Linked DNA regions of Ovis aries. The protein of the gene in region 2 purifies or fractionates together with the protein of the main gene of each other region. This does not show direct contact. Links are inferred from orthologs where the notes say so. Each region holds a gene or a part of one and is shown on either strand. Other genes may lie near its edges. The genes, in order: LCP2 and FYB1.

The links.
Region 1: the proteins of FYB1 (region 2) and LCP2 purify together in Homo sapiens (co-immunoprecipitation; 6 studies listed by BioGRID and IntAct, with this or other methods). This does not show direct contact. The link is inferred for Ovis aries from reciprocal best matches to the Homo sapiens genes FYB1 and LCP2.

Annotation. Positions count from the first base shown.
Region 1 is NC_056069.1:2,324,832-2,328,655, forward strand, and holds part of LCP2 (lymphocyte cytosolic protein 2), read right to left. Parts: intron 3,533-3,824; coding exon 3,483-3,532; intron 304-3,482; coding exon 212-303; intron 1-211. UniProt on the Homo sapiens protein: Adapter protein primarily involved in signaling pathways within T-cells, as well as other immune cells such as platelets, mast cells, and natural killer (NK) cells.
Region 2 is NC_056069.1:35,336,955-35,341,273, reverse strand, and holds the start of FYB1 (FYN-binding protein 1), read right to left. Parts: upstream 2,822-4,319; 5' UTR 2,764-2,821; coding exon 2,761-2,763; exon of another isoform or gene 1,619-2,760; intron 1-1,618. UniProt on the Homo sapiens protein: Acts as an adapter protein of the FYN and LCP2 signaling cascades in T-cells. May play a role in linking T-cell signaling to remodeling of the actin cytoskeleton. Modulates the expression of IL2. Involved in platelet activation.

The DNA.
Region 1 (3,824 bases), about 33 Mb from region 2:
TTATTTTTCTGTTTAATGTGAAACACACATTTGCCATTGGAAGAGGAACATCAAGGAAAAAGAATATTTTTCAACTGAATTCTCCCCTCAATATTTTTCACTAAAAAAATTAAGAGTAAAAGAAAATAAAAGTATAGGAGACTATTCAGTGGAAGATTCTGATGATTCGTTTGCTGGTGTAGAAATAAAATAGGAACATATGCCTTATTACCTGTTCTTCCCCAGGGGACTGTGGTCTAGGTTTGCTGGGAACTGGCGAGAAGTTCCTGCCTTCCACTCTGGGAAGTGGTCTGTTGAGGGGGCCTTTGAAAGTATAGCATTTTGAACGTTAATTTACTTTAAGCAATTTTTCACTAGTCATAGCCCATCACTGCCCGCCCTCCACAATGCCCTTGCCATTGTTCCCAGCAATTAACGTTTCAAGAAACCACAGCTTCCAAAATAACTTTCACTTGTTCAAAACCACAAGGGCTGTTTCGGGCCCTATTCTGCAGCCATGCCAGTGAAATTCTGAGACACTACACCGCACACTTGATTGGTTGCTTAACTGAGCAAGTTACATATATACCACCAAATGGTAAAATGTGGAGGTCAGGATAATTATGTTCTCATTTTCACAACAAGACATGTGACTTACCCAAGATGAGGTGAAATTACCTTGAATATTCTTAGATTTCAGAGCCAGAGCTTACTACCTGCTGTTCTTGACCAAATTTCTTTTAGAAGTAGAACTGTTAGACTCACATAGAAGGAGGCCCTGACAGTATCTGATCCATCAGGAAGCCTGTGTCGGAGTCTGTAAATTACCCAGCATTTGTGCCTCATCTTCTCTAATGCTTTTTTTTTTCCTTGTTGACAGTTCCATGAAATTTTTCAAGAGAATGTGTTTCCTAATCTCAGGGAAGGTTTGATTGTGTTGATTTGCAGTTGCTAAACCTGTCTCTATATGCCAGAACAGCTATTTCAGGCTGGTAAAGTCCGTGAGTTGAATGTTCTCTTAACAATTCATGCATCACTCATTTGTTCATTCAACAGATATTTTTTCAGCACTGCTGTGTCCAGGCCCTGAATAAGACACCTGTGTGCATGACCTTTCATCCTCACAGCAACTCCACAAGGTGGGTATTGTCTTCTTTTTGAATATCATGAAACAAAGATTCAGAGAGTCTAAACAAATCATGTGTCTTAGTGGCAGAGCCAGAACTTGAGCTTGTGGTTCCCAAATATGACTGTGCGTAAAAGAGAATTCCAGGGGGACCCTGAATCACCCAGGCTCAAGAATCTGCCTTTAACAAGCACTCCAGGTGGTTCTGCACCAGCTCTGTTACTTCATCTAATACATCTAATACACCACAGAGGGTAAATCGCCTGCCCCAGGGCCCCTGAGAGGGGAGAGTTACTTGAAGAGTCCAAGTCTTCCTAGTCAGGATTATTCGAGATGCAGATGGGGCTAGCCTGAGCTGCTGATCTTCCTTCTTAAGGCTCCCAGTGCCTGAGCAGACCTTCCGCATGACAATCTCTGCAGTGCAACATTGTATAATGCTTGCTGAGTGAGTGAGATCTAGCTACGTGAGAAAGTCATGCAATGAAGGTCTACAGGGCATGGCTGTCTTAGAACTGAGGAATTATTCTCCATCTGCATCTGCAGGTCAGCACCACAAAGTCACTGTTCATGACAGACAACATATTACTTTTCATTGCAGTCACCCTCCACCCTTAATAAATAGATCCTCAAGGGAACTGGCACAGGTTTTTGGCCAATATAAAGCACATGCTTTATCTTCCTGACCTTGGGGAACCAGTGGGTTAGACTGAGGACCAGGTGTCCTGGCACTCTTGGGAGAAAAGGGATCGATTTTGATTAAGGTAGTAGAGTGAGCCCTCTGCGTTCATGGCTTCCGCATCGGTGAATTCAGCCGACTACAGACTGGTTCAACCAATGGGTTAGCCAGGTCTGTGGATGTGGAGCTGTGGATGTGAAGGGCCAACTGTGCGACATCATTTTATACAGAGAACTTGAACATCCTGGGATTTTGTTATCAGTGGGGGGTCCTGGAACCAATCCCCCCTCCTGTATTAGAGGGATGATTATATTCAAAAAAATAATAAAAGCCAACTGTTTATATTAATAATCTCTGTCACCAACTCATAGAAGCAGGGGTCTATGGAATTTACTTTGGCAGATACTGCTATAAGTGAAGTGTCTCAAGCTCAGATGCCTGGACGGACCAGGCTAGGGACACAAAGTAGGTTTACAAAATAATGAGTTGTGGCCACTGAGGGGTGGGGGGAGTTGTGGAAGCCATGTAGTGAATAAGGACACTATATCCTAAAATGCTTAGGAAACATTGAAAATACAGTGGGTTTCATTGGTGTCAGCAGTAGAATCTCATACATATATGGCATGATGTACCCAACTGAATGTAATAGACATGCCCCTAAAAGAAAGAGTCGACTCTTAAGTGAAAATTTAAACTTATTAGTTTTCTGTTTATAACACAAACTAATGTTCCTGCATGTGTACATGACTACAAAAAAAAAAAAGTGTTTTATTTTTTCCTCACAGAATTTTTAAATCTTAAGTCAATCTTTAAAAATTAGGTAATTTCACATTGAAAGCCATATTTCTATGTTTTCTTGAAAAATAAATCAGAAAATCTGGTAACACAAGATGTGTTTTCTAGCATGAGAAGAAAAAATTGTTTACTAGAGTTGGGTGACTCTCCATAGTCATTTGACAGTCATTCAACAAATGTTTTAAAGTGCTTACCATGTACTAGTCACTTGCAAGTCCTTAAGGATAGAAAATAAACACAGCTAGTCCTACTGGGTAGGCCTTTGTTTCTACTTGAAGTGGTCCATGAACCAGCAATACCAGCTGGGAACTTGGAACTTGGGAATCACATGGAAACTTGCTGGAAATGCAGAACCCTGGGTCCCATCCAAGACCCACTGATTAGAATCTGCATTTTAACATAGCTCCCAGGGGATTTGCGTGCCTTTTAAAGTTTGAGGACTCTCTCAAGAAATACTTACCATCGACACCCAAAGGAAATATTATTAGAAAATACAGGTCTTCAGCCAGACTTACTGTATCAGAATCCTGGGGGTTGGGGGTCCCTTAATCTGTATTTTAAACATGTTCCTCAACTAGCACTCCAGGTTAGATTCATTATAGAAATCTAAACTACAGAGAAAGCTAGCACCATCCTAAGCATCATATAAAAACAGCCGGGAAGAAAAGTTCCGCCTGGGAAGATAAAGCCAAGGGCGCCTTCCTGCGGAGGAGTGTGTGTGTCTGTGTGTTGTTTTTGTTGTTGTGTGGAGTATCCTATCACTACAGCAACCTTTGGTACACTTCAGAAACCGAAGTGCTGAATAATGAAGTCGGATGCTTTTAGGAAACAACAAAACTTTTGCCGAAAGGCTTTGGGACGACGGCATATGGGCTAGAGTCGGTCACTAGAGCGCAGAGAACAAACCTTGAGAGAAGCATGGCGGCAGGGAGGCGCTCTGCGGAAAGGTAGGGTTGCTGTGGAGACAAAAAAGAACAGATGTGAAGTTGGGTCGGGCTTAAGGCGTCAGAGAGGGACCTGAATTGGGGAAATGCTGCTTCTCTGACTCTTCTCACCCCCTCCCTGAAACCACGGGGGCAGGGCAAAAAGAAGGAACTTGCTGGACACACTTCACTCCTGTCTCAGGAAGACCAGGCCGGAGTCTAACGAGCTTCTCAAGATGAAGAACAAAAGCAAGAACAGAACAGTGGAAAGAGCCTCAAAAGCTGCTTTAAACAGGCAGCAGCAGTGTGAGGACCTCGAGTCTGC
Region 2 (4,319 bases):
CTTATTTACTCTTCAAAACAACCTTTCAAGATACTGTCATAATCATCTTCATCATTTTTGGATAAAGAAACAAACTCAGAGCTTAAGTGACTTATGAAAAAACCATGCAACTAGAAAGCAGAGAATGAGTAGATAGAAATACAGTCTTTGACTGATCTATGACGTCTCCCAAGGAGAAAAAGTAGAAGAGTTTTTTCCTTCCTTTTATATGCTACCTGCCTTTCTGCAACTTGTTATAGAATGTCAGAGGCAATGTTGGGGAGAGAGAAACTAAAGGAAATCTACTTCCTTTTCAAGTAAAACCTTGATAAGCTACAAAGATAGGCATCATATAGCTTATTGCAACTGGGAAATTCATGCACCATGACACTATACAGTTTTGTTGTTTAGTTGCTAAGTTGTGTCCAACTCGTTTGCAGCTCCATGGACTGTAGCCCATCAGGTTTCTCTGTCCATGGGATTTCCCAGGCAAGAATACTGGAGTGGATTGCCATTTCCTTCTTCCTGACCCAGGGATTGAACCTGCATCTCCAGCATTGGCAGGCAGATTCTTTACCACTGAGTCACTAGGGAAGCCCTCACTATATAGTAGGTAAAATTAAAATATGTTGCTTTACAAGAGGGTAACTTGGTTAAAAGTCGAAATATATGTTTTTTTTTTTTTTAAATCTACCTATTCTTTTAGCATTTCTTGCAATGGAAAATAATTAGGCAACAAATGTAAATGAATGTTTGTGATAGTCTTATCTGTATGACTGTAAAGAAAGTAAAATAAAACAAAAAACAATCTCAATGTCCAACTATATGGAACCGATTAAAATAAATTACAGAATACAATGCAGTCACTAAAAATGATTCATTATTAAAATGGTTTCATAACTCAGATATTATTCAAGATATTTTAAATTAGAAAGCAGATAAGGGAATGGTTTATAAAGTATGATAGTACTTATAAAAAATTATATTTATAAAATACATTTTAAATGACAAAATTCTAGAAGGATCTATACTAATTTAGCAATGATTGCCCCAGGTGATAGAACTATAGAAAATATGTATTGTGTCATTTCCGCATGTCTATATTTCTAAGAAATTTTCTTTAATAATGTGTTACTTTTACAATAAGATTGTGCTCTCTTAAGAAAACATTATGTAGGACATTAAACACACTATCCAATTAAACCTTTCTTTTTTTCTTCTATTGCTGTCTTGTGTTCCCTAAGAAAATTCAAATAACCCTGTAAATCACAATGCCCTCACTTATTTTTGAAGAGAATATGGCAATTAACATCAAGATCTTTTCTAAGAATCCTAGATCTGCAGGCGGAGTTTGGAAACATTAGTGATAGTCGTTCAGTAGTATCCGACTCTTTGCAACCCCATGGACTGAAGCCCACCAGGCTCCTCTGTCCATAGCATTTCCCAGGCAAGAATACTGAAGTGGGTAGGGATCAAACCCAGGTCTCTTGCATTGCAGGCAGATTCTTTACCATCTGAGCCACCTCTGTACTTTCCCCATTTTGGCTCATAAGATTTCAGACTACAAACTCATGCCATGAATTCTTTACCCTGTTCATTCCAGTGCCTACAGAGTGCACTCTCTACCCCCACCAAGTACCTGTAGGGATCATCGCCTTGTCCCCATTTTCCCACTGGGAGGTGGCAAAGGCCGTCATCTTCTCTATAAGAAGAGATTTCTCAGTCACAAAATCATGTTCGACTCTGATCCCATGGACTGTAGCCCACCAGGCTCCTCTGTCCATGGAATTCTCTAGGCAAGAATACTGGAGTGGGTTGCCGTTTCCTTCTCCATAAGGAGAGAAGGGGTAACAAATTTCTAGTCTTGTACAAGCTGGAGAGTTGGGGAAAGTCGTGTGGAATTAAAAAGTTATCTCTCTTCTGGACTTTGGGCATCTAAGAACACCACATGTATGAGAACACAGTCAATTACACAGAGAAATAATAGGAAACTAGCAGAATATTAGTGCTATTGTTTAGGTTCACTATGGGTTAAGCTAGTTTTTATAGTACCCTGGGAACCCAGTCATGATTTTAAGTGTGCTCCACATAAGGATTTTCTATTAACTTTGGAACACAAACTGTCCCTAAGATTTGGACTATTTGGATTTTGTTTGCTTCTCTTAACTAAAATAATAAAATTCATTTTTTTTCCTCTTTCTTTTTTTAAATTTTAGTTTTTGTCCATGTTGTAGGAACATGTGGGCTCTTCGTTCCCAGACCAGGGATTGAACATGCACCTAGAGGTGCGTAGTCTTTACAACTGGACCACCAGAGAAATCCCCTAAACTGCATTTTTCTAAACAAAAGAACTCCTCTTGTAAAACTTCACTATGTTGTCAAAACTACCCTCGTCTTCAGCGATATTGCCCAATGTATATCGCTGGAGTTTTCTTCAGGTTTTTAAAGTGCTCATGAAAGGAAACTTGATTGCACTGTGGTTCTAAACCAACCATCTTAAGAAGCAAAGACAAAGAATGTAGCTTTTCTTTCTTTAAGGCGTAACTCTTCCCCTGTTCAGAGGCCAGAATCAGAAAAGGGAACTCCTGCGGCCACAGGCTCTCAACTGGTATAATAATGCCTTAGCAACTTTATTAACAAAGGGAACGAAGATGAGATAAGCAAAAATTCCAGAGGCTCAGAGGACCTGCCCGTAAGGCACACCCGGCCCTCTCTGCTCTATGTAGAAAAGATCAGATGTTTGCTAGGAGACCAAGGAGAGTCATAAAATCTATTACTTACCATTTTTTTATGAAAGAGTTGATGTGCGTGGCACACAGCGACTCCGAAGATGCTGTAACTCGGACAGTGAATGTGCAAGTTAGCTATGCAGACGGTACTTCCTTTTTTGAACCCTGTGGTCTGTCCAGTTTTCACACATTGATATATAAGGTTTATTTGCATGTTATCTCAGCCCTCAGAACATTTGTGTAACTGGCCAGGTTTATCCAGTTACTATGCCTTACTGATTGATATGAAAACAGCTACAGGTAGAGCTTTGAAGTCTTAAAGATTGACACAGAAGTTTTTTTAAAGTGTCTGAATAGTAAATTCTGTATATGTTACTAACCCATTTTATATATAAAATGAGTTTGTAGAGGATTCATATTAACATGTTAACAGTGGTTGACTTCAGTGGTGAATAAATAATAATATTTATTATTATAAATAATCCTTGTTTTGTACTTTGCCGACTTTTTGACTTTTCAATTTTGAGTATATAATACTTGTTTAAAACAACTATAATCTTAAAAAGAACAAAATTATAATGATAATTTTAATCATCAATTTCAATGCATTTAAATCTATCTCATCAATATTTAAATGCAGAATATGTTTTAACCTTATCATAGGATGTTATTCATTTCATTAAAAACATAAAGTACATAACAGTCTAGGTTCATGCGTTAATTTTTTGGTAATATTTGTTAGCAACTGACATCTTAATTTGGGGTTGCAAATTTCTAGATCTTGTGTATATTATCATGTTAACCTAGAAGAGGGGCGTCAATTTTTTTTGTTTGATCCTGAACTAATAGTAATTACTATCATGACAATAAAAATTCTTTAGTAAGTGGATATTTCCTTTTATTTATTTATTAAACAAAAATGTTTTTCAAAATTGAGATGTGGGTAGAAATATGGATAGAACCATTGCTAGGACAAGACAGAAAGGCAGAGCAGGGGTCAGTTCCCAGAGGTAGAAAGGAATTTGAGATTGCCTTGAAACTGTAGGTGTTTTTAAAATGGGGCTTGAGGATACTCAGGAGCTAGGAGAGTAGTCAGAAATTATACTGTCCCTGGCACATCGTAAGTACTCAATGAATGAATAGAGGAGGAAGATCAAGGCAAGACAGGTATGAGAAAACTAGGCATTTTTTTTTAGACAATAAGACATTGCCAGAAGACCTTGAAATGGAGACATTCTTTAGCATAACCAGGAAGCCTCTCATTCACTATCTGTTGAAACACTACAAATTAGGTTCTTTTTTATTTTTTTATTTTTATTTTTATTTTATTTATTTATTTATTTATTTTTTTAAATTTTTTAAATTTTAAAATCTTTAATTCTTACATGCATTCCCAAACATGACAAATTAGGTTCTAAAGCAGAAGCTTTTCACCTGGCAGCCCATTAAAATCACCTGGGAAATTTTAAAAATCCAAGTTTTCAGGTTTAACCCGAGACCATTAAATAAAGATCTCTAGTTTTGAGCCCCAGGCATCAGTGTTTTTTAATACAGTTCCCCAGGTAGTTTCAAGGTACAGGCAAGCCTGGGCTCTAAAAGGAGGAGCAAGTG